4 linked regions of the Anolis sagrei genome follow. The protein of the gene in region 1 interacts with the protein of each later gene in a pairwise test. Links are inferred from orthologs where the notes say so. Each region holds a gene or a part of one and is shown on either strand. Other genes may lie near its edges.

Evidence for each region.
Region 2: the proteins of PPFIA1 (region 1) and CCNH interact in binary tests that used the Homo sapiens proteins (3 or more experiments, as listed by UniProt). The link is inferred for Anolis sagrei from reciprocal best matches to the Homo sapiens genes PPFIA1 and CCNH.
Region 3: the proteins of PPFIA1 (region 1) and PTPRF interact in a two-hybrid assay, tested with the Homo sapiens proteins (2 studies listed by BioGRID). The link is inferred for Anolis sagrei from reciprocal best matches to the Homo sapiens genes PPFIA1 and PTPRF.
Region 4: the proteins of PPFIA1 (region 1) and PPP2R5D interact in binary tests that used the Homo sapiens proteins (3 or more experiments, as listed by UniProt). The link is inferred for Anolis sagrei from reciprocal best matches to the Homo sapiens genes PPFIA1 and PPP2R5D.

The regions. Positions count from the first base shown.
Region 1 is NC_090021.1:267,212,260-267,220,162, reverse strand, and holds the start of PPFIA1 (liprin-alpha-1), read right to left. Parts: upstream 3,012-7,903; 5' UTR 1,990-3,011; intron 1-1,989. UniProt on the Homo sapiens protein: May regulate the disassembly of focal adhesions. May localize receptor-like tyrosine phosphatases type 2A at specific sites on the plasma membrane, possibly regulating their interaction with the extracellular environment and their association with substrates.
Region 2 is NC_090022.1:258,125,241-258,132,854, forward strand, and holds the start of CCNH (cyclin-H), read left to right. Parts: upstream 1-4,604; 5' UTR 4,605-4,686; coding exon 4,687-4,803; intron 4,804-7,614. UniProt on the Homo sapiens protein: Regulates CDK7, the catalytic subunit of the CDK-activating kinase (CAK) enzymatic complex. CAK activates the cyclin-associated kinases CDK1, CDK2, CDK4 and CDK6 by threonine phosphorylation.
Region 3 is NC_090024.1:182,583,701-182,590,809, reverse strand, and holds the start of PTPRF (receptor-type tyrosine-protein phosphatase F), read left to right. Parts: upstream 1-4,088; 5' UTR 4,089-4,344; exon of another isoform or gene 4,345-4,352; intron 4,353-7,109. UniProt on the Homo sapiens protein: Possible cell adhesion receptor. It possesses an intrinsic protein tyrosine phosphatase activity (PTPase) and dephosphorylates EPHA2 regulating its activity.
Region 4 is NC_090021.1:24,509,469-24,516,339, forward strand, and holds the start of PPP2R5D (serine/threonine-protein phosphatase 2A 56 kDa regulatory subunit delta isoform), read left to right. Parts: upstream 1-3,855; 5' UTR 3,856-3,882; coding exon 3,883-3,963; intron 3,964-4,135; coding exon 4,136-4,252; intron 4,253-6,871. UniProt on the Homo sapiens protein: The B regulatory subunit might modulate substrate selectivity and catalytic activity, and might also direct the localization of the catalytic enzyme to a particular subcellular compartment.

The sequences.
Region 1 (7,903 bases):
AATCATGGGGCATGTAGTTTTAAAGCTCTTCAGTCTTCTCTACCAATCAGTGCTCAACAAACTACAAATCCCAGAATTCCATACCTTTGAGCCTTGGCAGTTAATATGGTGTCAAACTACACTCTAAGTGTTCCTGAATATCAACTTAGTTAACTACAGGAAAGCTTGCAATAAATGGAAAAAGGATGAGGAAGGTTTAATATAATAGTTTACAAAGCGTTATAGTCACATGTAATTATTCATATAATTTTGATAATATCTAAATGTAAACATTATTCCTAAATAGCTAAATTATTTTCAGTTTTGAGAATAAAAATCTCTATGATGTTTTGTTACATGCTATTGAAAGAAGAAGGCATGAGAAGGCATGCTGAGAAAGTACACTGGCAGAAAGTTAGTAGTCCTTAATAATGTAGTGTTCTGAAGAACATGGGAGAATGGGGCTGGGATTAATGAATAATATACACTAGATCAGTAGTACATATCTATACCTTCAAGTAGGTTCCAACCTAAGATGAGCCTAAGGTAAACTTATCATGTGGCTTCCTGAGGTTGAATCAACCAATGAATTTCCATGGCCAAGCAGGGTTTCAAACCCTGATCTCCAGCATCATAGTCCAACACTCAAACCACTACAATTTTTGGCCTCGAGGACATGGCATCAGAGGAAGAATAATAAAAGTGGAGAATTGTAAGTTAATTAAAAAGTAGTGCAGATCAAAAAGTAATGTGGTTGTATTAGTACTCCCTTTAAACTGTTCCAGGAAAGTATCAGAGGAACTGAACAAGGCCCTTGCAAACAAATAGTTGATTTTTAAAATTACAGTGATTGAAGAGGTCTCTAAACTTGAATGTAAATGTATATGTATCTGTACATTTCAGTACAACACTAGAATTCTTTTAACAACCAGAACAAATCTCAGTTTCCAAACATAGGGAGTGTTTTAATTAAAGCAAACCACGTTCAATTAAAGCCAACTATTCCAATAATGTTCTTTATCCTTCTTTAGATGATCACCATGAAACATAAGCTAGCAATTTTGCCAAGGGACCTTCCATGAGATAAATTCCACTCCCCATATGTTTATGATTCTATAGTAATGAAAATGAACTTTATAGTTAACTCTTAACAACCAGCAACAAGTAAACAAGAGTTTAAGCCACTCAGAGTCCTCTGGGGAGATGGGGTGGGATATAAATAAAGTTGTATTATTATATCATTATTACACAACACATGGAGAGTGGAATGTATTTCAAGTTATTGTTCTGGGCCCTTCCACACAGCCATATAACCCAGACTATCAAGGCAGAACATCCCACAATATCTGTTTTGAACTGGGGGCCCTTCCACACAGCCATATAACCCAGAATAGGAAGGCAGAATAACCCACAGTATCGGCTTTGAACTGTGTTATCTGAGTCCACAGCCATATATCCAAGTTCAAAGCTGATAATGTAGAATTTCATTCAGCTGTGTGGGAAGGGGGGCGTGTGGGTTATTTGAGGGCCCTTCCACACAGCGCTATATCCCAGAATACCAAGGCACAAAATCCCACATTATATGTGTGTGGACTCAGATAACCGAGTTCAAAGCAGATTTTCTGCCTTGATATTCTGGGATATAGGGCTGTGTGGAAGGGCCCTGATTCCACACTGCTATATATCTCAGTTCAAAGCAGATAATGTAGGATTTCATTCAGCTGTGTGGAAGGGGGGCGTGTGTGGGTTATCTGAGGGCCCTTCCACACAGCACTATACCCCAGAATTTCAAGGCAGAAAATCCCTCATTACATGTGTGTACTCAGATAACCCAGTTCAAAGCATATATTCTGGGATATAGGGTTGTGTGGAAAGGCCCTGAACCCACACTGCCTTATATCCCAGTTTAAAGCAGATAATGTGGGATTTTATTCAGCTGTACGGAAGGGGCCTCTCAATAACTACATTATCTGCTTTGAACTACTACAGACTTCCACTGCTTTCCTTTACCTTGCTTGAGGAAAAGAAATGGTTTTAGGAGGCCAAGGTATTTTTTCCAGCAATATCAGCTCTCTTTAGGAACTTTGCATAACGATTTCCAAGTATATTTCCAAGGGTGGAGCAGCCACCCAACCAGGCTATACAACATCCACAAAGATTCACATAAGGCAATAAATAATCCTGCTGAGGGGTAAAAAAAAAAATACTTCAACAGGAGCAGCAAATAGTCCAGTTCGCAAATGGAGACGATGAGCGCAGACTTCAGCTCGATTCCTATTTCATCCTGATCCACAGGTCTTTTAAAGAAATATACTCTTTTAAAAACACAACAACAAAGAAGCGAAGAAAGCCAGTGCGTTGTGGTTTTTTCAGTGCTTCTGGGCCAACGATGGCGAACAAACAATACACGTTACAGAGACTCCTCGCTTGAGGTCATGAGGGCAGGACTATAAAAACACAAGAGGTACAAATGAGCAGAGGCGATGAACCAAGCGGGAAGGCACTCCTCCTGTGGGGCCCTTGCTAGGCAGCTGAGGGTCCTTTCCTCCTTTCGCGTTCCCGGCTCCTCTCGGCCGCCTTTAGAGCGGTTCCTCTTTCTCCGGCTGAAGCGAGGGCATGAGGGAGGCCAGGGAGTCCGAAGGGGAAGAGGCACGGGGGCTTCTCCTCCTCCTCTCTCCCGCTCTCTCCTCCTTCCCCGGCCCTCTTCCCTGCCCGAGGAGTGAGTGGGTGAGGGTCCGGGGCGGGCTCCTGAGGAGACGAGGCCCAGGCCGGCGCTCCGCCCCCTCCACGTCCGAGCAGCCAGGTCTCCCGCCCGAAGGAAGGGGCTGCCTCCGTCCCGCGGCGGTGGCGGCGGCTTGGGCCCGGGAGAGGCCGCTCTGGGAGTCCGCCCTTGGAGCCGGAAGGGTCCCGCCGTCACTGCCTCCAGCCGGGCCCGCCGCCGCCTCCTCCTCCTTCTTCTCCTTCTCCTCCTTCGCCGCCTCCTTCGCTGTTCCTGCTCTTCCCGGCAGCCTTTGCGGCTCCTGTACACAGCCGCGCGTGGCCCACAATGCACCGCGGGAGGCGCTCCGCTCTTTCTCTCCATCCCAACCTGGCTCTCTCGCGCCTCCTCTGGCCAGGAAGCGGGATTGCACAAGGGAAGCTTTTCTTGCTGCTGGGTTGTTGTAGGTTTTTTCGGGCTATTTATTATCATTATTATTATTATTATTATTATTATTATTATTATTAATTTTATTTGTACCCCACTAGCATCTCCCGAAGGACTCGATGCGGCTAACACAGGCCAAGGCCTCAAAACACAATACAACAATACAATACCTAAAGCAAATTAAAAACAGTTAAGCAGAATAAACAACAAACAGTAAACAATACATCAAGACACTATAAAACTGGGCCGGGCCAGAGTAATGGGTGCAAGATTAAAAGTGCTGATGTGGCAGGAGGTATGTAGGATTATAAGTAAGTGCAGAGTGCAGTGTGCAGTAATCTTAGTTCTACTAAAGTGCTTCTGGGACTTGGTATTGGAGGTTCCTAATCTGAGAAGGCACATCGGAACAGCCAGGTCTTCAAGTTCTTTCTGAAGACTGCCAGTGTAGGGGCCTGTCTGAGATCTCTTGGGATGGTGTTCCAGAGTCGGGGGGCCACCACAGAAAAGGCCCTGTCTCAAGTCCCCACCAAGCGCGCTTGCGACGCAGGCGGGATCACGAGCAGGGCCTCTCCAGATGACCAAAGTGAACTTGTGGGTTCGTAGACGGAGATGCGGTCACGCAGGTAGGGTGGTCCCAAACCGTTCAGGGCTTTGTAGGTAAGCACCTGCACCTTAAATTGGGCTCGGAAGATAAACGGCAGCCAGTGGAGCTCCTTGAACAGGAGGGTTGACCTCTCTCTGTAATGGTACATGGTTAACATCCTGGCCGCTGCCCGTTGGACCAGTTGGAACTTCCAAGCCGTTTTCAAGGGCAGCCCTACGTAGAGCGCATTGCAGTAATCCAATCTAGAGGTGACCAAGGCATGGACCACCCCAGGCAGATCAGCCTTCGCGAGGTACGGTCGCAGCTGGCGCACAAGTCTTAATTGTGCAAAAGCCCTCCCATGGCCATGGTCTAGAGGCATTCTCTCCTGAAGTTTCGCCTGCATCTATGGCAAGCATCCTCAGAGGTAGTGAGTCTGTTGGAACTAGGAAAAAGGGTTTATATATCTGTGGAATGACCAGGGTGGGACAAAAGACTCTTGTCTGCTGGAGCTAGGTGTGAATGTTTCAACTGGCCACCTTGATTAGCATATAATGTCCTGACAGTGCCTAGAGCAAACTTTTGTTGAGAGGTGATTAGATGTCCTTGTTTGTTACCTCTCTGTTGTTGTGCTGTTGTAATTTTAGAGTTTTTTTAATACCGGTAGCCAGATTTTGTTCATTTTCATGGTTTCCTCCTTTCTGTTGAAATTGTCCACATGCTTGTGTATTTCAATGGCTTCTCTGTGTAGCCTGACATGGTGGTTGTGAGAGTGATCCAGCATTTCTGTGTTCTCAAATAATATGCTGTGTCCAGATTGGTTCATCAGGTGCTCTGCTATGGCTGACTTCTCTGGCTGAAGTAGTCTGCACTGCCTTTCATGTTCCTTGATTCGTGTTTGGGCAATGCTGCGTTGGTCCCTATGGTGGTCCCTATGTAGACTTGTCCACAGCTGCATGGTACACGGCAGACTCCTGCAGAAGTGAGAGGATCCCTCTTGTCCTTTGCTGAAAGTAGCATTTGTTGGATATTCTGGATTTTCTTGGTGTGATTTTCTTGCTGCTCCCCTATAGAGAGAGCGCTCATCCAGCTACACTTAAAGCCTCATCACACTGGATAAAAAATCTACTTATAAAGCCCGACTGCTCATTGGAGGGAAGAATAGTAGAGGCCAAGATGAACTACTTTGGTCACATCATGAGAAGAAAGGAAAGCTTAGAGAAGACAATGATGCTGGGGAAAATGGAAGGAAAAAGGAAGAGGCGCTGACCAAGGGCAAGATGGATGAATGGTATCCTTGAAGTGACTGGATTGACCTTGAAGGAGCTGGGGGTGGTGACGGCCGACAGGGAGCTCTGGCGTGGACTGGTCCATAAAGTCACATAGAGTCGGAAACGACAGAACGAATGAACAACAACAAAATCCGTTTCTGCCTCCTGCAGAATTCTGGGGTTTGTAGTTTAGTAAGCCTTTAACAGCCTCACTAAACTATAAACCCCAGGATTCTGCAGGAGGCAGAAACCGGATTTAAAGTGGATTCATTCTCTAATGTGATGAAGTGATTACTTTGTCGCACTAGAGCAGTGTTTCTCAGCCTTCCAAATGCTGTGACCCTTAATACAGTCCTTCTTGTTGTGCTGACCCCCAACCAGAACATTAATTTTGTTGTTGCTTCATAACTGTAATTTTGCTACTGGGTTGCTGTAAGTTTTTCGGGCTGTATAGCCTTGTTCCAGAAGCATTCTCTCCTGACGTTTCACCTCAAAACTATAGGTGCAAGCGAAACGTCAGGAGAGAATGCTTCTAGAACAAGGCTATACAGCCCGAAAAACTTACAGCAACCCAGTGATTCCGGCCATGAAAGCTTTTGACAACACAGTTTTGCTACTGTTATGAATCGTAATGAAAATATCTGATATGCTGGATATCATATATTAGTAATAATACTAATAATATTACAATATAATGGTATAGTATAATAGAGTAATATATAATTCGGAGAAGAGCAAAACACCTGAAGTTTGCCCATGCCTGTTAGACATCCTTAACCATTTATCCTTCCAGATTTTTTTGCATACATTTAGCCCTCCATATAAACACTCTTGTCAGCTCATAATTTTGTATTTTTTGTATTTTTTTAACAAATGTACATTCCTTAATATTTTATAATTCAGGATATACATCCATAGCATTTTATAATTCTGGATTATTTTATTTTGTAACCCCCAAAGCAATATGTGCACCCTTAACAGGATTAAATATTCCAATAACAGAGATGTGTTACAAAAATGCAGGAGAAACTTGGTGAGGTTTGCAACTTTATTATTTAAGATGGGATTGGTAACTAATTAAATCCCTACGGCAACATGTCTTCTTCAGTATAGAATCATTGACTTGGCCTTCAAATAATCACTTTAACTGCTGTTAGCTGTCAAAGGGTGTATACATTTTGGGGGGATGCCTTGAATTTCCTTCTGAGGGACTGCAAATAGGATTGAGAAGAAATCCCCTTTCCTCCCCTTGGGTCACAGCTAAAAGTAATCCTATCTTCTACTCTAACCTGGGAGCTATTGAAAACACCCGCTTCTGATTTAACAGCATACAGTTAAAACATGAATCCCTCATGTAAAGACTAGCACATTTTATTTGACAGATGTCTGTCTTCTCTGACAGGAGTAGATTTTTCAAGGTGCCAGGAGATTTCCTTGTTTTCGCTGCAAGATGCTAAAGATTAAACTTAGGAAAAATGCCTTTGGCTGCAAGTCACGTCACGTGTATGGTGTCCCACGACTGAGCAGGTTTGCAGAGCCTTGGGCTGTAAGATCCATCCTCTCTTTCCATTCGTTGGTGAGCATAAGGTGAATAGGTACAACTTTGCCCTGCCAATTATGTTATTTCACCAGTGTGATGTTAAGACAAGCCGCAGAAAGGGGGGCGGGTAGAAGAGGAGCAGGCATCTGGCCTGAGAAGAGCAAAGAAACCACGCTCCATAGCCTAGCCGGGGTTTCTGAGAGCTTAGCTGGAGGGGATTAACATTTTTGAGAAGCGGAGGGAGGGAATTTCAGCTGCTTGTGAGGTACTCAGTGAACAGTGTTCAGGTCTTCAAGTCCCTTCCCCCTTGTTTACTTGAGAGAGCAAATTCTATCATTGCAAATAATGCACCTAAAGATGTAGTGTTTCTATGAATACACAGGTTTAGGATCCATTATCCAAAATGCTTGTTTTGTCTAATCATAATTGAAATAATAATTTTTAACCCACCTCTCCCCATGGATCGAGGCAGGGAAAAGTGGCATCACTAGGGGATTGTAGGGGGTACAAAGCACACTGTGTGATACTATCAGAAGGGCTGGCATCAAAATGACTGTCTATAAAATGTTCATGCAAAAATTGATTATAAAATAAAAGAACATAAAATATCAATACATGTTAAAACAGCCCATAGTTTCATAATTTAAAACGTATAACTTAAAATACACACAAGTACTGGAAGCCTGATGCTATGGAAGGGTTTCAAATCTAGGGTAGGTCGTGGAGAATAGAGCAGTTAGTTTTTTTTTAAAAAAAACTAGTGGATAGTAGTCTTTTGCATTTGTACAGAATCACTATCCGTTTCAGTTGGTTTCATTTGTAAGGCCCTGTTTTCGTTTTCGAGCACCTCTCCTGAAAACGAATGCCTTTCCGAATGAGCTTTTCATTCACTAGGTTCTTGTGGGTTTTTTCGGGCTATAGAGCCATGTTCTAGAGGCATTTCTCCTGATGTTTCGGCTGCATCTATGGCAAGCATCCTCAGAGGTTGTGAGGTCTGCTGGAAGTAGGAAAAATGGGTTTATATATCTGTGGAATGGCTGGGGTAGGGCAAGGAGCTCTTCCCTGCTGCAGTTAGGTGTGAATGTTTAGCTGATCACCTTCATTAGCATTTGAAGGCCTGCCTGAGCCTGGGAAAATCTGTTGCTGGGAGGTGTTAATCTGTGCCTGGTTTTTTCCTCTCTGTTGTTTAGCTGTTATAATTTTAGAGTTTTTTAATACTGGTAGCCAGATTTTGTTCATTTTCATGGTCTCTTCCTTTTTGTTGAAATTGTCCACATGCTTGTGGATTTCAATGGCTTCTCTGTGTAGTCTGACATGGTGGTTGTTGGTGTGGTCCAGCATTTCTGTGTTCTCAAATAATATGCTGTGTCCAGGCTGGTTCATCA
Region 2 (7,614 bases), on another chromosome or scaffold:
TTTCATTATCTTCCAAATTTGCTTTGCCATTCCACTATTCTCATAGTTCTGACCAAATATTCTAGCAAATGTAATGCTTAATGGCAAAATAAAACATCTTCATAGGCAAAGAACTTTTACACATGATTGGCCAGAGCAATTGATTAATAACTTTTACAGCTAGTTATGAAAATGAGATTACAATACTTGTAAAATTAACACTGCATTTCTAATTCTCCTGCCTGTGGACAATTTGCACAACAAGCAATTCAGCCGTTCATAATTAACTAGCACATTTCAGTTTCCAGTTTAATTTTCAGTGGTGCATCTTTCTGATTCATTCATTAAAGCTGTACCATTAAATCAAGCACTGAGGTTTTATTTATTTGTATTATTCTCTCCTCCTCCTCTCCCCCCTCCCACTTTAATGGTTTAGTAAATTTTATGAAATGAATTTGCTACAGCCGCTTCTAACACAAAGCAGAGTCACCACTGCTTTTTACAGCATTTTCACTTAATCCTATGTGATTAGTTCTTCAATCTGATGCTCTTCAAACACATGTTGGTTAGGGAATGGAGAAAGTTGCAGTCTGCTGCATCTGGAGGGTATCAGATTTGGGAAAGTTCTTCCAGAGAGATATACAATATGAGTCAAGATCCAAAGCCATCTTAGTGAAGTCAGGGAAAAAAGTTTCCTAGTTTAATTGTACTGGAGTTCTAGTAGTACAGCAGACTCTACATACAGATTCTTGCGCAACCAATTGTGGAATGACCAGTTACATAAAACTCTGCTCTTGTGCCGAGTCTTTAAATGCATAGTGGCCCTTGCTTGAACACAAGTGATATTGTTGGATACAACACACAGTGCCTTATAAATTAATATGATGAATTCATAAAAGTTTAGTTGTATCACATCATGTCAAGAAGCCAGTATGATGTACCAATTTAACTGCTGGACTAGGACTCTAGTAAATTAGAATTTGAAACACTGATCAGCCACGAAAGCCCACAAGATGATCTTGGACTAGTCACAATTCTCAGTCGAAATGAAGGCAATGACAAATCCCTTTAAATAAATTTTGCCACAAAATTCTGTGATACAGTCTTAGGGCTGCCATCAGTCCAATAAGTTGAAAGTAGGAGGGGTAGCTAATACCTCAGAGTCAGAATTCTAATAGATTGGAGAGACATGTCAAAACTAGCAAATTGAATTTCAACAGGGAGAAATGTATGTCTACACTTTGGGCATAAAAAAATGAAATGCACAGATAGAGAATGAGTGACACCTGGCTTGAAAACAGTACACGTGAAGGGTATTTAGGGGTATTAGTAAACCACAAGCTGAATACGACTCAACAATGTGATATGGCAGCTAAAAAAGCCAATGTGATCTAGATGGCAGCAATAGGGGTGCATCCACAATGTAGAATTAATGCAGTTTGACACGACTGTAATTGCATTAGCTCAATGATATGGGATCATGACAGCTGTAGTTTGGTGAAGCACCAGCAGTCTTTGACAGAGAAGGCTAAAGACTATGGGCAACTACCAACTCATATGATTTCACATTACTGAGCCATGACAGTTAAAGTGGTTGCAAAATACTCCAAAATTGCCTATTATAGGTGGCTGTGATAAGAGCTCCTTTTGTTTTCTGATGGTCTAAGGTACACATACTTTGTTTCATGCAAACAATTATTAAAATTGTATATAACACAACGGGATGGGTGATGCCTGGCTCGACAACAGTCCATGTGAATTAGTAGACCACAAGTTGAACACGAGCCAACAATGTTTAAAAGAGATATTGACAAGGTGGAAGGTGTCCAGAGGAGGGCAACTAAAATGATCAAAGGTCTAGAGACGATGCTCTATAAGAAGTGTCTTAAAGAGCTGGGAATATTTAGCCTGCAAAAGAGAAGGTTGAGAGGAGACATGATAGCTATGTATAAATATGTGACAGGCTGTCATAAGAAAGAGGGAGCAAGCTTGTTTTCTGCTGCCCTTGAAACTAGGACTGGAAGCAATAGATTCAAATTACAGGAAAGGAGATTCCACCTGAACATTACAAAGAACTTACTGATAGTAGGAGCTCTTCAGCAATGGAACTCTCTGCGTCGGAGTGTGGTGGATGCTCTTTCCTTGGAAGCTTTTAAACAGACTGGATGGCCATCTTTCGGAGGTGCTTTGATTGTGCTTTTCTTGCATGGCAGGTGGTTGGACTAGATGGCCCTTATGGACTCTTTCAGCTCATTTATTTATTTATTTTGCATATTTGTATCCTGTCCTTCTCATCCCCGGAGGGGGACTCAGGGCGGCTTCACAACAGGCATTCATTCAACAGTAATAAATGATGAAAGCAATTAAAACAATTTGTTAATGCTGTCGCGTTTGCAAGGATGGTGGAACCGAGAGCAAGGCCTCCCTCATTGATCTTAGACTTTGCGATGGGTCATAGGGGGAGATATGTTCAGACAGGTAAGCTGGGCCAGAACCGTATTATTATCATATTATTCTAAGATAAAATATTCATGACTACAGTATTGAGCCATGACAGTTAAAGTAGTGTCAAACTGCATTACTTCTGCAGTGTAGATACACCCATAACCTAGATATTGTGTCTTAGTGCCATGCGTGCACATTTCTTGTTTGAATGGAGTGACCAGGAATATATGGGTTATTGTTATAATCCTTGACATATCCTCATAACCTTACAATAGACATATCTGCTACTTATTCCAAAGCCTGCCCTCTTTTTTTACCTTCTGAGGTCCTCCCTGCTTTAACTTTCCTTCTGTTTAGCCTAAAGACAGGAGATTCACAGCCCTTTTCCCTTCCTTGTTTAACTACTTTGTTGTTGTTCATTCGTTCAGTCGCTTCCAACTCTTCATGACCTCATGGACCAGCCCATGCCAGAGCTCCCTGTCAGCCATCATCACCCCAGCTACTTCAAGGTCAAGCCAGTCACTTCAAGCATAACATCCATCCATCTTGCCCTTGGTCGGCCCCTCTTCCTTTTTCCTTCCATTTCCCCAGCATCATTGTCTTCTCTAAGCTTTCCTGTCTTCTCATGATGTGGCCAAAGTACTTCAACTTTGCCTCTACTATCTTTCCCTCCAGTGAGCAGTTGGGCTTTATTTCCTGGAGGATGGACTGGTTGGATCTTCTCGCAGTCCAAGGCACTCTCAGAACTTTCCTCCAACACCACAGTTCAAAAGCATCTATCTTCCTTTGCTCAGCCTTCCCTAAGGTCCAGCTCTCACATCCGTAGGTTACTACAGGGAATACCATTGCTTTAACTATGCGGATCTTCATTGCTAGTGTGATGTCTCTACTTTTCACTATTTTATCGAGAGTGGTCATTGCTCTCCTCTCAAGTAAGGGTCTTCTGATTTTCTGGCTGTAGTCTGCGTTTGCAGTAATCTTTGCACCTAGAAATACAAAGTCTGTCACTGCCTCCACGTTTTCTCCCTCTATTTCCCAGTTATCAATCAGTCTTGTTGCCATAATCTTGGGTTTTTTTAATGTTTAACTGCAACCCAGCTTTTGCACTTTGTGCTTTCAACTTGATTAGAAGGCTCATCAGTTCCTGCTCGGTTTGGCCATCAAAGTGGTATCATCTGCATATCTAAGGTTGTTAATGTTTCTTCCAGCAATTTTAACCCTGGCCTTGCATTCATCAAGTCCCGCACATCGCATGATAAGGTGGGTATGAAACACACACACACACACACATATATATAGACTGTGTTCTTGTGGGTTTTTTCGGACTATAGGGCCATGTTCTAGAGGCATTTCTCCTGACGTTTCGCCTGCTTCTATGGCAAGCATCCTCAGAGGTAGTGAGGTCTGTTGGAATTAGGACAATGGGTTTATATATCTGTGGAATGGCTGGGGTGGGGCAAAGAGCTCTTCTCTGCTGGAGCTAGGTGTGGATGTTTCAACTGACCACCTTCATTAGCATTTGAAAGCCTGGCTGAGCCTGGGAAAATCTTTTGTTGAGAGGTGTTAAGATGTGCCTGGTTGTTGTTTATATAGACTGTGTTTAGGCTTTTAGCTCCATCTCCAAAATATGAATGTATATTTAGAACTCGCTCTACATCAGGCATGGATAAACTTTGGCCTTCCCTCCAGGTGTTTTGGACTTCAACTCCCACAATTCCTAACAGCCGAATTGTGGGAGTTGAAGTCCAAAACACCTGGAGGGAAGGCCAAGGTTTGCCTATGTCTGCGCTACATTCTCTATTATACACCTAACTGGCCTTCAAATGGGAACCCGAATCGATACCTATGTTCCCATCTTCTTGTTTCTACCTCTTTGGTCTTACTATCCTCCACAAAGGCGTCTCTTCTAGAGGCAAGGAAAGCTACAACCCTACACTTCCGGTACTATGTTGAACATCATTCCAATTTTAGCCATAGGCTGGAAAGAGGAGAATGCTGGGACTTCAGCCCTCCTCTCAGGTGGACTTCAATTCACAAACAGCTGGAGGGAGGGCCGAAGTTTGCGCATGCCTGGTGTTGAGGAACCCTCTCCCACTCTTTCCACGCATATGGCTTCCTCGGGAGTCTCACGCTTTGGTCTGGCTCGATCTCTTTGACCTTAAGCGCGCAGTGATGTCACGTGACAGTGCGCGCTAGCGGGGAAAGATCCGCGTGCGGCTCCGCGCGGGGCATGACGGGACGAAGAGGAAGGAGAGCGCCGGGATGTACCAGAGCAGCACGCAGAGGCGGCGCTGGACCTTCCGCTCCGAGGAGGAGCTCACCCGGCGCCGGGCCGATGCCAACCGCAAGTTCCGCTGCAAAGCGGTGTCCAATGGGAAGGTGAGGGTAGGGAGCGGGGTGGTGGATGGCTTGCGTCCACACTGCAGAATGAATGCGGTTTGACACCACTTTGAACTGCCCTGGCTCCATGCTGTGGAATTACTAGACTTGCAGTTAGTTTGCAAGGCCTTGGGCCTTCTCTGCCTCACCAAACTACAATTCCCAGAATCCCATAGCATGGAGCCAGGGCAGTTCAAAGTGGTGTCAATAATAATAATAATATTATTATTATTAATAATAATAATAGGGTTCTGTCTGGACAAATGTGCCACAGTGGCAGTAAAGTAAGTTAAAATTACACACAGCGAGGGTATAGAGATGCGGAACGGACAAACCATAAAGCCTGAAGCCTATCAATATCTGGCCATACTACAATTTATTTCCTATATTTATTTCCTATATTTATACCCCGCTCTACTCCCCCCAAAAGGAGGCTCAGGGCGGCCTAACAAAAGCATCATACGATGCTAGCATCATAAAAACAACCACAGTACAACAACCACCATGTCAGACTACACAGAGAAGCCATTAAAATCCACAAGCATGTGGACAATTTCAACAGAAAGGAGGAAACCATGAAAATGAACAAAATCTGGCTACCAGTCTCTAAAATTGCAACAGCAAAACAGCAGAGAGGAAACCACCAGGCACATCTTAACACCTCTCAACAGAACATTTTCCCAGGCTCAGCCAGGCCTTCAAATGCTAATGAAGGTGGTCAGCTGAAACATTCACACCTAGCTTCAGCAAAGAGCTCTTTTCCCCACCCCAGTCATTCCACAGATATATAAATCCATTTTCCTATTTCCAACAGACGTCACTACCTCTGAGGATGCTTGCCATAGATGCAGGCGAAACGTCAGGAGAAATGCCTCTAGAACATGGCCCTATAGTCCGAAAAAACCTACAAGAACCTAGTGATTCCAGCTATGAAAGCCTTCGACAATACATTAACCACAGTACAATCAGTTGGACAATATAAAGCATTGGCATGTGAAAAATGCCAATGCAAAGAATATGTCCAAAGAGTCAGAAAGGTTTTGAAGAGTAAACTAAATAGCAGAAATGCAGTCAAGGCTATCAACACCTGGGCCATCCCCTTCATTAGATACACTGCTGGAATTGTGAACTGGACAGAAGCAGAGCTGGATGATCTGGACAGAAAAACAAGAAAACTGATGACAATCCACTACTCTTTACACCCGCGGAATGATGTCGACAGACTTTACCTGCCCAGAAAATGAGGAGGCAGAGGGCTTCTGCAAGTGAAACAAATGGTAGAAGAAGAGAAACATGCACTGGCAGATTATTTGAAAGGCAGTGAAGAACCAACATTGATGGAATTCAATAGTAGTAGAATTGCTGGGAACATAAACCTGCAAAGGTAGTGGAAAATGAACACGCAAAAATACTGTGGGACTTTCAAATCCAGACTGACAAAGTTTTGGAACACAATACACCAGACATTACGATTGTGGAAAAGGAAAAAAGTTTGGATTATTGATGTCGCCATACTGGGTGACAGTGGCATTGAGGAAAAACAGGAAAAAATCAACTGTTATCACGACCTCAAAATCAAACTGCAAAGGCTCTGGCATAAGCCAGTACAGGTGGTCCCAGTGGTAATTGGCAAACTGGTCACTGTGCCAAAAGATCTCAGCCGGCATTTGGAAACAATAAACATCGACAAAATCATTATCTGTCAACTACAAAAGGCCAACTTACTTGGATCTGCACACATCATTCAAAAGTATATCACACAGTCCTAGACGTTTGGGAAGTGTTCGACTTGTGATTTCGTGATATGAAATCCAGCATAGAGATTTTGTTTGCTGTGTCATACTGTGCTTTGTGTCAGTAAAATAATAATAATAATAATTAATAATAATTGAGGGAAGTCAATAGTAGTAAACTGCTTAAAGTGCAAAAGTGAAAAGTGAATACCGTAAAAACACAATCCAGAGCAGAAGAAAAAACTGGCAAAAGAAGGCTCTCCATGGACAGTTCCTGGGAAAAATTGAAAGCCTAATAGACAAAGAAAAAACATGGATGTGGCTCACAATTGTAACTTTGAAAAAGGAGACGGAGGGCCTGATCCTGGCAGCCCAAGAACAAGCCATTAGAACCAATGCCATCAAAGCCAGAATTGAAAAGTCAGCAACAGATCCCAAATGTAGACTCTGCAAGGAAGCAGATGAAACAATAGATCACATCCTCAGCTGCTGCAAGAAGATCATGCAGACAGAATACAAGCAGAGGCATAACACCATTGCTCGGGTGATTCATTGGAACTTGTGTCACAAATACTGTCTGCCTGCAACAAAGAAGTGCTGGGATCACAAGTCAGAAAAAGTTACAGAATGAACACGCCAAACTCCTCTGGGACTTCCAAATTCAGGCTGACAGAGTTTTTGGAGCACAGTATTCCTGACCTCACGGTTGTGTTAAAAAACAAAGTATGGATTGTTGATGTTGCAATCCCAGGTGACAGAAGGATTGAAAAGAAACAAGTGGAAAAGCTGACACGATATGAGGATTTAAACATCGAACTGCAAAGACTCTGGCACAAGCCTGTCAAGGTGGTCCCAGTGGTGATCAGCACACTGGGTGCAGTGCCTAAAGACCTTGGCCTGCACTTAAACACAATCGGCGCTGACAAAATTACCATCTGCAGAAGGCCACCTTACTGGGATCTGCATGCAATATTCACACTGAGTTTAGCGAAATGTACTATTTCATTACTGAGTCTACACAATAATTGCAATTCGTTTTAAATGTTTTTAATGCTTAATATTTATATCTCATAAGTAA
Region 3 (7,109 bases), on another chromosome or scaffold:
TGCAGCTTGTTTTCTTGCTGCTGTTTGCCTTCTTTCTGGATAAACTTCAAAAATATTACTTGGCACTGTTGGGGGTTTAACGGATGAACAGTGTGGGGTCCTGCAAAATTGATTGGTTTTCACAGGATCTGTCACATTTGAGGGCACTGTGGCTCTCAGTCTCTATTTGCCATGAGATGTTGCAGGGCAAGTCCCTAGAAGATGCATTGCCTCCGTTTTGATAGGAAAAAAGGGCAGTTGTTGCTACTGTATCTGCTTGCAGTTCATAATAACTGTTTGTGATGCCATTGATGTTTAGGCATAGCCATCATTCTTGTTCCAATCTACTCATTCTGTTCTAGTGATTCTTCTCCTGCACTTTTAAAACTGGGCAAATGCAGGATCTCGTTGTTGTGTGCAACCCTGTCCTAGGACTGTCTTTGAGAGAGGTTTGCCATTTCATTCCTCTTAGGCTGTGAGACTATAAGTTGCCCAAGGTGCCCCACAATCCTAGTGCAACATTCAAACGGCACAACACTGGTTGAAGTATAGGCCACGGTGTCCAAAATCTTATTACTGTCTCCCAAAGCTTTATTTTTTACTTTATTCTCAACCTAAAAATGGAAAATAGAATGTCAGTGGACAATAAAAGAGATTTAAAGATGGGCTTAAATCTAACCTTAATAAGCATGGCATAAGCTCCAAGAACTGGGAATCCCTGGCACTTGTGTGTTCCAACTGGAAACCAGCTGTTCCTAACAGTGCCATGGCTTTCGAAGAGGCACAAATATGGGGCAAAAGGAACATGCCAAGAGGAAGAAGGTATGTCACGCAAACCATTGCTGTCACCACCTGCCATCTGGAAACCTATGTCTTGATTGTGAAAGACCATGTGGATCCAGGTCTTCACATTCACTTACAGACCCACCACCAAGACTCTACCTCTGGAAGACAATCATATTCGGCCATGAGTGATTGCCTATGAAGATGATTTGTTGTTGTTTATTCGTTCAGTCGCTTCCGACTCTTTGTGACCTCATGGACCACCCCACGTTAGAGCTCCCTGTTAGATGATAGAGGAGTAAAAATTTTTGCTGGCATTGAAGCAACCCCTCGGCATATCAGAGATAATCCATACTCCTTGATGGATTGTCACCTTAATGTGGTGAGGGGGTTTGCGTGTTCCAGTGAACCTGTGGGTGTAACCACTGGAGCCATGCACTTTTCAGGGGGCTGCAGGGGAGATTCCAGACCAAGCACAATCCGAAGACCTCAACAGCAGATCAGACAGAAGGTAACATGGTACATGTTACAATGGGTGTGAAGGTAGAAGAAGGCTGCAACAGATTGAGACGCCCCCATCATGTTAACCATGTCACTGGTTGGGACCCTCACTCTGTGAAGGCTGTGTGTTATGGGCAGTGTGCCAACCTCCACACATTTAAAGAACTCTCACACAGGTGTCTTCCAAGAACTTTGAAGGCCATCATACCCAGAAGGCCTCATCACATCCTCTTTGAATATGGTTGATGCCTCCTGCAGAATGCTGGGGTTTGTAGTTTAGGGAGGAATCTTTAACAGCCTCAGTAAACTACAAACTCCAGAATTTTGCAGAAGGCAGAAACCAGATTTAAAGTGGATTCCTTCTCTAGTGTTATAAAGTTGTCAGGCAACGAGGGATTGCTTAAGTAGAGATAGAGGGGGCCTCCAAAGAGTTTTGCCCAACTTCATACATTTAGTTGCTCTTTCTTTGTCTCCATCCATCTCTCCTTCCTTCGACTCTCTGGCTCTTTCATTTCAAAGGCAGTTAAGATGCAGATCTCTATAAAAGTGTACACTTTCGGCCCCGAGGCTCAGCAAGCCCCAACAAGCTGGAAAGTGTGTGTTAACACAGTTGAAAGAAGCTTGGGTTTTAAAGACTTGCTTCGAAACCCGACATCAATGTAATTGCGATGGGTAATGGGTGCTTAAATTATTTATTTGTGGCGGCACAAAATGATGCACGTGGGGTGTGTGTGTCTTTCTGCGTGGAGCCAACACATATGTAGCTAGGAAGCCCATTCCCAGAGGAAACAGCCTCTCTTCTTGACAGAAAACTTCACAAAGCAGGCTGCTTAGTGCTTTCTCGACTTTTGTTACCTGTCTTTGGCAAGAGAGGCTTGAGCAAGGCGGAGCCCCGGCGTGTCCAGTGGGAAAGCAGCCCTGCCTCCCAGCTTGGCCTTGCAAAGGAGGAGTGGCTGAAGAAAAAAAGAAGAGAAAGAAGGGGGGGGGGAGAAAAGGTGGTGCTAGATGTGTCTGACTGGTTCCTCTTACAAATGTGCTCACCTTTCGCCTCGAAGCAGTTGGCACCTATTGCTGACGAAAATGCCATGACTCAGTGGAGGCAGCTGGAGAGGGAAAAGAGCCAGTCAAAAGGACAGTTTAACCCAGGTATAGGCCGACTTGGATCCTCCAGGTATTTTGGACTCCAACTCCCACCATTCCTAACCGCCTCAGGCTGAGGCGGTTAGGAATGGTGGGAGTTGAAGTCCAAAACACCTGGAGGCCCCAAGTTTGCCCATACCTACTTTAACTTGTCTGAATCAACCCCCTGGCAGTGCTCTCTCTCTCTCTCTGTATACAAACAGAGGCAAGGGTCAGGGTCACAAAGGTGTTTTCCCCTCCTCGCTGTAGACTAGAGAAGGCGCCCTGCGGGTTACAAAACACCAGTAATAAAAAGAGGGTGGATGGAGTAAAGGGAGAGGGAGTATGGTGTGAAAACAGAAGGCAGGCAGGCAGGCAGAGAAGAGGGGCAAAAAGGGGGGAGGGAAAATAGTTGGTGGAAAGGAGCCAGTGCTGGCTTGAGACTGAATGGTGGCCAAGCTGGTTCCAAGGGAGGGAAAGGAGGCCCCCACCTGACTCGCGAGGAAAGATGGCTTTTGAAAGGGGATCCCAGGCTTTCCACGCGCAGGAGGGAGGGAGGAAGGAAGGAAGGCAAGAAGGAAGGATGAAGGAAGGAAGGAAGGCAGGCAGGCATGCAGGCAAGAAGGAAGGAAGGAAGGAAGGAAGGAAGGAAGGAAGGAAGGAAGGAAGGACGGAACGAAGGAAGGAAGGAAGGAAGGAAGGAAGGAAGGAAGGAAGGCAGGGAGGGAGGGAGGAAAAAGATAGGGAAGGAAGGAAGACAGGGAAGATGGATGGATGGGAGGAAGGAAGGAAGGAAGGCAGGCAGGCAAGAAGGAAGGAAGGGAGGAAGACAGGAAAGATGGAAGGGAGGGAGGGAGGAAGGCAGGCAAGAAGGGAAGGGAGGGAGGGAGGAAGGCAGGCAAGAAGGAAGGAAGGCAGGCAGGCAGCCTGAGCAGCAGGTTTCCCCGGCTGGAAATGGGTTTCCCTTCCCTGTAAAAAAGGGGCGGGGGGGGGGGGAGGGAAAAAAAAAAAAGAGAGAGAGAGAGAGAGGAATGCGTGTTAGCGAGACCCTGGAAAGGTGAGGCGCGCGGGAAGGGGGGGGGGAGTGTGTATAGGTGTCTATACAATCCGCATTTATGTACATATGCAAAAGAGGACCCATAGAATTGGTGTAGAGAGAACACAACTCTTCTATTATTATTATTATTATTATTATTATTATTATTATGTATTGAAGGCAAGCGCTTGTGTGTGTGTGTTTGGGTGGGTGGGTGAGCGCGCGCTCTCAATCTGGAGATTGAGAGAAAGAAGGAAGGAAGGAAGGAAGGAAGGAAGAAGAGATGAATGGAGCTGGTGGTGGTGGTGGTGGTGCGCGCGGGGGTCGCTCCAAGGAACGCAGAAGGTGACGGGAAAGAGAAAGAAGACGAAAGGAAGCAAAAAAAGGGGGAAAGAGAAAGCCCAAGGTAGCAGGTGGGAGGGAGGGGGGGGGGAGAAGAAAGAGAGAGAGGGAGGGAGGAGGGAAAGGAGGGCTCTGCGGGCGGGCTGCTGGGTTGGCTGGCTGGCTTGCTGAGTGAGGGAGTGAGTGAGTGAGTGGCCTCGGGAGCGCGCGGCGCGTCCCCGCTCCAAAGGCGGCTGTGGCGCTGCTGGCGGCTCTTTCTTTAGTCAGTGGAAAGAGAGAGAGAGAGAGGAGAGCGTGCGCATTGCGTGGTCGCGCGCGCAGAGGGAGTGAGTGCGCGCGAGCGAGAGAGAGTGCGCGCGCGTGCTTCTACCTCTCTCTCTCGCTCTCCCGCGTCCTGCGTGTCTGGAGAGCGAAGGGGCTCCGGGAGCTGCCGGCGCGTGCGGGCGGGCGAGAAAGAGAGAGCAGGAGCAAGCGAGGCATCGTGGCGGAGCCCGGCGCCGGCGGCTGGTGGGTCGGTGGGCCGGAGCTCCAGGCGAGGAGGGAGCATGCGGGCGGCGGTGGCAGCGGAGCCCCGGGCGCGCGTGGTGAGTGAGTGAGTCCTACCCTGGCTTCTCTCTCTTTCTCTTTCTCTCTCTTTTCCGCCGCCTGTTGAGTGCGCCTGGCATCCCTGCTGCTCTTGCGATTTCCCTTGGATACAACAAGAAGTTGACCCCGGATCCCTCTTGCCTTGACTTCTGGGGCGCTCGCTCCCCTCCAGGACCCCGTCGCCGCTCGGCTTGGATTGTAGGCGAAGCTTCCCTTCCTCTTCCTCTCCCTCTTCCTTCCTCCCTCCCTTCCTCCCTCCCTTCCTCCCTTCCTCTCCCCTTCTTTCATTCCTTCCTTTCTCCCTCTTCCTTCCTTCCTTCCTTCCTTCCTTCCTCTCCCTTTCCATTCTTCCTTCCTTCCACTTCTCCTTCCTTCCTTCCTTCCTTCCTTCCTTCCTCTCCCTTTCCATTCTTCATTGCTTTCTCTCCCCCTTCCTTCCTTCTTTCCTTTCTTCCTCTTCGCTTTCCTTCTCCCCCTTCCTTCCTCTCCCCCTTCCTTTCTTCCTCTAACCCTTCCTTCCTCTGCCCTTCCTTCCTTCCTCTCCTTTTCCTTCCTTCCTCTCCCCTTCTTACCTGCCTACCTGCCTGCCGCCATTCCCGCTCTCTTCCTTCCTTCCTTCCTAATCCCACCCTTCTTCTCCTTTCCCCTCTTGCCCCGACTACCTTGTCTTTCTTTTGTGCTGTTTATAGTTGACATGGCCACTTGAGGACCTGTTTGGGAACTGTTGCATGGAAAGGGCATGTGCCTTTCTTTCCCCCTCTCCCTTTGCACTTCCTGGCAGGGCATATCAACACCCCCCCTCCCCTAAAAGTCAAACCATGGCGTTGGTTGCAGATAGATCCTCATGAAAAATGCCTGGCCGAGAGCTCTCTGGGTCCCTCTTCTCTTTTCCTTGGGGAGTTTGCAACCCACCCAGAGCAAGGCTTTGCAGGGAATCAAGAAGGAAAGTGGTCGGAGTGTTTTGTTTTGTTTCCTCATACCTTGGAAAGGTAGACTACATTTCCTTTTTTTGCATATTCATTAATGCAAGTGGCCTGCTGACCTTTCCCACTGGTGGAAGACGTAATGCACACACACAACATGGGTAAGAAAAACTAGGCTGGCTGTGTATTTTTAGCCCTGATCCCTCTGCTTGGCTTTACCTGCGGTGCCTGCCTACAATCTCAGGCTTTTCTCGGCCAGGAATGTGGCCTCGCCTGCTTCTCCGCCCAGAGAGCAATGTTTAGAAACAAAAATCTTTGGATTTCCTCCCAGGTTTACCTTACAGTCTGGAAAAAAAGAGAGAGAAGCAAAGGACTCTAGGAGCAGCCCTTGAAACCAGATGCTTTGCTCCATGCCAACTCCCCCCCCCCCTATTTTTTTTTTAATTCAAAAGACAAACCAATATTGTTTTGGGGCTTCCCTCCCCCCCCCCATCTTTTCTTACCCTCCTTCTCTTCCCTTCGCTTTGTTCTTTTTGACTGCAGATTGATGGAAAGGAATGAGAGGAGGGGAGAACAACAATGAGCTTCTTGGCTTTGCTGGAACTGGTTTGTGGTTTTGGTCTCACAGGCTGGTTTAGAAAGGTGCCTTTTTCACTTCAAAGTCTGAAAAAAACGTGGCATTGGAAAAACATCAGAAAGACAATCAATATTATTATAATATAATATAATATAAAAACTCCACTTGCCTATTTTCCAACACATCACAGCCTCTGAGGATGCTTGCCATAGATGTGGGTGAAACGTCAGGAGAGAATGCTTCTGGAACATGGCTATACAGTCTGGAAAACTCACAGCAACTCATTATTATTATTATTTGCTTCAACAGTTGGTTGTTTGCATTTTGCCACTTTGCTTCAAAAATAATAAAAACAGCACTCCCTAAAATTTTGGGGAGCTTTGTGATTTCTTAGGATTTGGCTATTGTGTTGCTCGGATTCAGGTTTCCGTTCCTGGGGGAAAAAATGTTTGCGGACAAAAAAGAAACAGGAGGCAGCCATGTTAAATAGTCCGTTGGCAGTGAGGATTAATTACCGGGCAAAGTTTCTCTACATTGTGAGTGTGTCAGGTGTTGGGGACACAACCACCGTGGCGTTTTTGTATAGAATGGAAACAGTGGAAGGTTCCTCCTTGGAGAACAGCCCTGCCACTGTAAATTCTCCTTATTCTTTTTGCTTGAATATGCTTGTGAGCAAGATTTAAACTTTTGCCCCCTGTTGGACTGGCAGGAATGCTTTAAAGGAGAAGAAAAGGGCCCTTTTAAAATGCAAATAGTGTAGGCACTTTGTCAGCCGGCTCCCACTCAACCTGTTGGTTCCTTTTAAAGCGATGACTGGCAGATTGCATGAAATCCCAATACTGCTTCTGAATATCAGGATCGAGAGTCACAGTTTTAGTCTTACACTTCCCCTTCAAAAAAATAATAATATCCTTTTGTTGTTATTATAAGGCTGTGCAAGAAATGAAATACAGGATACATTCATAAAAATGAGTGTACTGCACTGACTGAAATATTAATCATAATAATAATCTTTATTTGTACCCCGCCACCATCTCCCCAAAGGGACTCGGGGCAGCTCACAGAAGCACTCCCAAGTACCATGTGCAGACAACAATACATAAATATAAATACAATGACATAAGTATAATCAACGGCACATAAAAATCTCATTGACAAAATTACAAAATTTTGAAAATTATAGAATTCCTAAAAGAAGGAAATAATGAATGTGTGGAACTCATGGTTATTTCCGAGCCCCCGGTGGCGCAGTGGGTTAAACCCC
Region 4 (6,871 bases), about 240 Mb from region 1:
TTATTTATTTATTTATTTATTTATTTATGGCATTTATATGCTACCCTTCTCACCCCGAAGGGAACTCAGAGCAGCTTACAAGCAAAAATTAAATACAATATATTATTATTATCATACCACAATATTAATATTATATATTACATTGTACTACTGTAATATTAATAGTATTACATTTAATATAAAATATAATTATAATATCATTTTATTAGTAGTAGTATATTGTATTACATTATAATATCTACATTATGTACAATATTTTATATTATATTGAATTATATTATACTATAAGCACAGTGCAGGAGACAAGATGGAACTACCTTTCTGGTCCCTTTCTTCATTCTGATCTCAGAGCAATATGAGTCTTCACTAACATGTAATGAAGTTTCAATCTGCATTATATGGCAGTGTAGGTGGGGTCTCCATTGGCAAATATGGCAGTGTAGATGGGGTCTGAGTTTGCAACCTTTATTTATTTATCTACCACATTTATATCCTGCTCTTCTCAATCTCGAAGTGGACTCATGGCGGCCTTACAAAGGCAACAATCCAATGCCATATATTAATATATTGGTAAATAAACAAAAACATTAAAACCAAACCCATTAAATCATAGCATTAAAACATAAATTAAAATCACATGACCCAACTTTGAAGTAAACTGAGGAGAAAGGGGGACAGAGTAGGAAAAGGTGAAGAAAGGCAGTATGTTTGTAAAGGAGCTGAAAAAGTGGGAAATCAAAATAGTTGGAGGGGTAACAACATATAGAGAGTCTCACAGATGAAATTCAGAGCTACTATATGCAGGATGTACACAGAGTGTAGGTACTGAAGTTGTGAATAAGCACAAAAGATATCCTAAGAATAATGCACATGTCCACATGTGCTGTTATTTAAGACCCGTGGCTGGGGCAAAAGGAGGATCTAAACCAGTGGTTCTCAACCTGTGGGTCCCCAGATGGTTCGACCTTCAACTCCCAGAAATCCTAAAAGCTGGTAAACTGATTGGTATTTCTGAGAGTTGGAGGCCAAAATACCTGGGGACCCACAGGTTGAGAACTACTGATCTAAATAAATGCAATGATAATATTTGTGTAATAGAATATAATGCAAAAAGTGATTGTGGGCCTTCAAGTTCTCTCCAACGTATGGCAATCCTAATGGGAGCTTGTCAAACTGTTTTCTTTGTCTTCTGAGACTGAGAGATTGTGACTTGCCCAAGGTCACCCAGTGGGTTTCCATCGTCGAACAACAAGTTATGCTCCAATGCTCGGGCCTCTACCTCACACTAGCTCTCATACTTAGTACTGCACATTGAAATATATACATATACATATATATACACACACACAGAGAAAGGAATTTGTTTGGGCTTAATTTGCATGCTGAATGCTAATGCCATGAATGTAACATTTCTAGTAGTGGTGGAATACATGCTTCCAAATGAAGAATGTGGTATATTTGATTTTGTCAGATGAGGCTGGAAATAAGCCTGCTGAAAACCCTGGAGAGTCTAGACTGACTGGCAGCTTCTTCCAGGTTTTAGTAGACACTGCTAAACTAGATGGATCAAGGTCTGAGTTGTTGTAAGGGATCTCCCTATGTTTTACTTTTGTATATGGGGAGATGTGTTATGAAACATAGGAGCATGTATGAACAGGGTTGCACTTGATTGCCTGTGCGAATCCATGGCACCACATGCATTATCATTATGAATAAACAACTATAGGTGAATATTAGAGTGTAATAGTCCCATATTTCCAGGATATAACATTACACGGGCCCTACGATTTCCTGCAAAGTATGGATAACATTGCTTACTGTGTTGCTGTGAGTTTTCTGGGCTGTTTGACCATGTTCCAGAAGTATTCTCTCCTGACATTTTGCCCACATCTGTGGCAGGCATCCTCAGAAGTTGTCAGGTGTATTTACTAAAGTGGTGTTAGAGTTCATTTCGCCTTGACTTACAAACTGACCTAAGGATAAGTCCCATCAAATCCTTAATTTTTTTCTGATTCATGGTCACCCAAGTGTGTCATGGGATTCAAACTAGTTAGCTTGCTAGCAGATCATAAGTAACTTACCACGAGGAAGTGATCTTTGAAGTAGATTTCAGGGTTTAGTTTCCTTTTCATTCATTCTTCGCCAACTTCCATTCAGATATGTTAGATGTGGGATAAATAAGAGTTATGATAATACCCAGAAGAGGTCCCTGAAGGTGCATCTACACTGTAGAATTAAAGCAGTTTGACACACTTTAACTGCCATGGCTCAATGCTGTAGGATAATGGGAGGTTTAGCTTTACGAATCCCATGATTGCTGTAGCATTGAACCATGGCAAACTGCAATAATTCTACAATATAGATGCATCCCAGTTGGGAAAGGTAGAGTAAAGAATTCTGCTACTTTTTATAGGCTAGATAGGAACCTCCCTCACCTTGAAATTCCTACCCTTTTGTGGCTAAACCTGCCTGACTTAACTTCAGCCTTCCAGGACTTTGCTTTGTCCTCTCATGGACTGTCTCTTCTACTCACAGGTAGAGTAATAGAGTTGGAAGAGACCACATAGGCCAGGGGTTCTCAACCTGTGGATCCCCAGGTGTTTAGTCCTACAACTCCCAGAAATCCCAGCCAATATACCAGCTGTTTGGATTTCTGGGAGTTGGAGGCCAAACATCTGGGGACCCACGGGTTGAGAACCACTGACAGAGGCCATCTAGTCCAATCTCCTACCATGCAGGAAATCACAGAGTATCCCTGACAGATGACTATCCAGCCTCTGTTTAAAAGTTTCCAAGGAAGGAGCTTCCACTACACTCCAAGGCAGAGAGTTCTACTATTGAACAGCTTGTGCAGTCAATATGTTCTTCCTAATGTTCAGGTGGAATATCTTTTCCTATAATTTGAACCCATTGCTCAGAGTCCTAGTCTCAAGGGCAACAGAAAACAATTGTGCTCTCTCTTCCTTATGACTCCCTTTCACATATTTATACATGGTTATCATGTCTCCTCTCAACCTTCTCTTCTGCATGCTAAACATACCCAGTTCAAGATGCTCCAGATCTTTGATCATTTTAGTTGCCCTCTTCTGGACACCTTCCAGTTTGTTGATATCTCTTTAAAACTGTGTTGCCCAGAACTGGACACACTCTTCTAGGTGAGGTCTAACTAAAGCTGAATAGAGGGGCACCATGATTTCTCTTAATCTAGACCAGTGGTTCTCAACCTGGGGTCCCCGGATGTTTTTGGCCTTCAACTCCCAGAAATCCTAACAGCTGGTAAACTGGGATTTCTGGGAGTTGTAAGCCAAAATACCTGGGGACTCACAGGTTGAGAAGCCACTATTCTAGGTGAGATCTAACCAAAGCTGAATAGAGGGGCACCATGACTTTCCTTGATCTAGACCAGTGGTTCTCAACTTGTGGGTCCCCAGATGTTTTGGCCTTCAACTCCCAGAAATCCTAACAGCTGGTAAACTGGGATTTCTGGGAGTTGTAAGCCAAAACATCTGGGACCCGCAGGTTGAGAAGCACTGATCACTATATTCCTATCTGAGCAGCTAAAAAATCCCATTGGCTTTTTAGCTGCTCACTACAGGTGATACGTCGCAGCTTCCTTAGTTTATTCCCTGACCTTTCTCTGGATCTACATTGCCTAAATAATAGCTTCCTTCCTTCCCAGCATGTCCTTGGTTTGACACATAAGTCCTTTTCCTTCCAAGGAGCAGTTAGCAGAGGCTGGAGAGCTCTTCAAAGGGTTGTATTCCTTTGCAGTTAAAGGGGTGGTTTCCCCCATTCAGTGGGAGGGAAGGGGTGGGCTTAAGAAGTCAGATGCCTTTTCAGAAGGGAAAGAGAATGGATCAGGCCAGGGGCGCTGCTTAGAGGATGCTCAGTGTGTTTCTGTACAGAGACCTTTCTCTTGTCCTGGGAAGAACATCCCTCTCGGGCAGCCACTTGTGGAGCATGGTATGCTATCGAAGTTGTTCCTGGGGGAAATGTCGTTTTTTGTGGTCACTGGAATTCCAGTTTCACAATATTTGTCTCATTTGGACGTGAACCGTAATAAGTCCTTAATGGAGCAACTCATCTGTAAATGCTCTTTCTCTTCTTTGTGTTTCTCTTTCGTTTCATCCTCCAGGACCCTCCAAAATCGACCAAAAGCACTACAAAAGCTAGTAGCAGCAGCAGCAGCAGCAGCAGTGGTAGTGGCAGCAGTGGGACCGGGAAAGATGGCAGCACAGAAAATTCAGAAGAGGTAGGATACTTATTCTGCAAAGGATTATATGTTGTGCATTATATACCGGTTAACATTGAGTTAAATTAAAACTGATTAGCAGGAAGTGTCTGTTTTTGAACATAATTTTTTTCAGGGTGGGGTTGGGAGCAGCAACTGTTGCGTATTGAGTAGACGTGTATGTAGGATTGCACCGTGAAAGTGCTTAGTTAGCTTGCCTGGAAGCAAATGTGTATTGTTGATGCATTTGTTTCTTCTTAAAACAACAAGTGTGTGCACGTCTGTGAGTATACAGATCCAACCAGTAGTCTAAAAGATGAGAGGATTTGTGGCATGTCTTAATGCATTTATAATTGTTTTAATGTATGCTAAATGTATATTATGCTTTGTTTTTATTGTTTGGCACTGAATGGTGCCTGTTGGTAGCCGTCCTGAGTCCCTCTTTGGAAGTGAGAAGGACGGGATAGAGATGCTCCTAATAATAAATAAACAAATAAATAAATTTCAGGATTTTTAGAGTTAGCAACTGAACTCAATAACAAATTTATAATGAGGGGTGGGTAACTGGAGGGTAGAGAGTTGTATTGGGACCTCCTAGAATATATTTCAGAAGTCTCTAATGAAGTAGTGGATATGCAGAAATACTCCATGCTTATAAGATCTTCCAGGCACTTGATTCCCTGCCACTGCTATAGTTTAGGTTGAGTATTTCTTACCTGAAGTGCTTAGGACCAGAAGTATTTTAGATTTTGGAATCCCTGTATTTATGGAGGACAATAGATCATGACCTGTCAGGATTGCTGTCCATTGGCGTATATAGATCATAAACTGTTAAGATCACAACCTAATTATGGTAGCAATTCAGAGTTTATTGTCGGAGGCTTTCATGGCCAGAATCACTGGGTTGTTGTAGGTTTTATCGGGCTATATGGCCATGTTCTAGAGGCATTCTCTCCTGACATTTCGCCTGCATCTATGGCAAGCATCCTCAGAGGTAGTGAGGTTGTTGAAACTAGGAAAATGGGTTTATATATCTGTGGAATGACCAGGGTGGGACAAAGAACTCTTGTCTGTTGGAGCTAGGTATGAATGTTTCAACTGACCACCTTGATTAGCATTTGATGCTAATCAAATTAAAACAATTAAAATTACAACAGCAAAACAACAGAGAGGAAACAATCAAGGGCATCTAATCACTTCTCAACAAAAGATTGCCCCAGGCACTGCCAGGCCATCAAATGCTAATCAAGGTGGTCAGGTGAAACATTCACACCTAGCTCCAGCAGACAAGAATTTTCCCAACTGGGAAACCCATTTTGTGGTGCCAGAACACAGTCTGTTCAGCGCCTTCCAAGTTGGCCAGTTTTTTGTGTGCCCAGGGGGGAGTCCCTCATTTGGTATCAGCCATTGATTGAGGTTCTGGGTTTGAGCCTGCCACTTTTGGACTCTCACTTGTTGGGGTGTTCCAGCAAGTGTCTCTGTAGATCTTAGAAAAATATTTCTTTATTTAAGTCGTTGATGTGCTGGCTGATACCTAAACAAGGAATGAGCTGGAGATAATAATAATAATAATAATAATAATAATAATAATAATAATAATAAACAACTTTATATATAACTTATAGCAGAAGTATGCTAGAGGACCTAGAAAATGGTCAGAAAGGTCAAATTTAGGCATTGCTCAGTTCTCTAGCATAACTTTGGTCAACTTCCAGTGCACCACCTCGAGAATCTTGGAAAGGACATATTTTGTTAGAGATTGGTAAATGAAACCACAGGTTGCAGTCCTGGATATATGGGAATCATACTGAATTATTATGAATTGTTTGCATCTCATGGGAGATATAATTAAGTAGAGTGAGAGCAAAAACCTGTGGAAAGTTAAAGGAACATAAAAGAGCAGTCTGGTCCAATAGTTTGTTTATATGCTAGTTACTAAAGGACCAAGTGGCATGCAGTTTTAGTGGCAAATAAATTCAAGGAATGGGGCATGGTTTAAAAGAGACATACTGAGATAATTGATTGTGACACAGAGGAGTAGCATTTTGCAGACTTTCTTTCATAGTCTGCGCATGAATAGCAAGGTGTTAGATTCCACCCCCGTTGCTGCTGAAACTCAAGTAATTGTTAATATCTCTTATCTATATCTGCAGAGCACAAAAGATCAGAATATTTGTTCTTTTCTTCAGCTTGTAGTGAAAGGAATACTACAGCATTCTGTATCAATGCTAAATATAATACTACATCTTTACTACAGGTAGGGTATGCAACAGGTGTATTACAATTGAGTATGAGACCATGTGCACTGCAGAATTATAGTAGTTTGACACTTCCACTGCCAAGGCTCCATCGTATGGAATCCTGGGATTTGTAGTTTGTTGTGTCACCAAAATTATCTGACCGAGAAGGATAAATATCTCACAAAACTACACATTCCAGAATTCCATTTCATGAAGCCATAGCAGTTAATGTGATTTCAAGCTGCTATAATTCTGCAGTGTGGATGCAGCTGATATATAAATGGTCACGATAGTCTCTTTGATTTCTTTCTCCTGAACCTTTTAGAGGGGTTTGTAGCTTATACAGTTCTCCTGCTGCTGCTCAGTGGCTGCTTTCATTTGTCTCTGGAGAGTCGCTCTA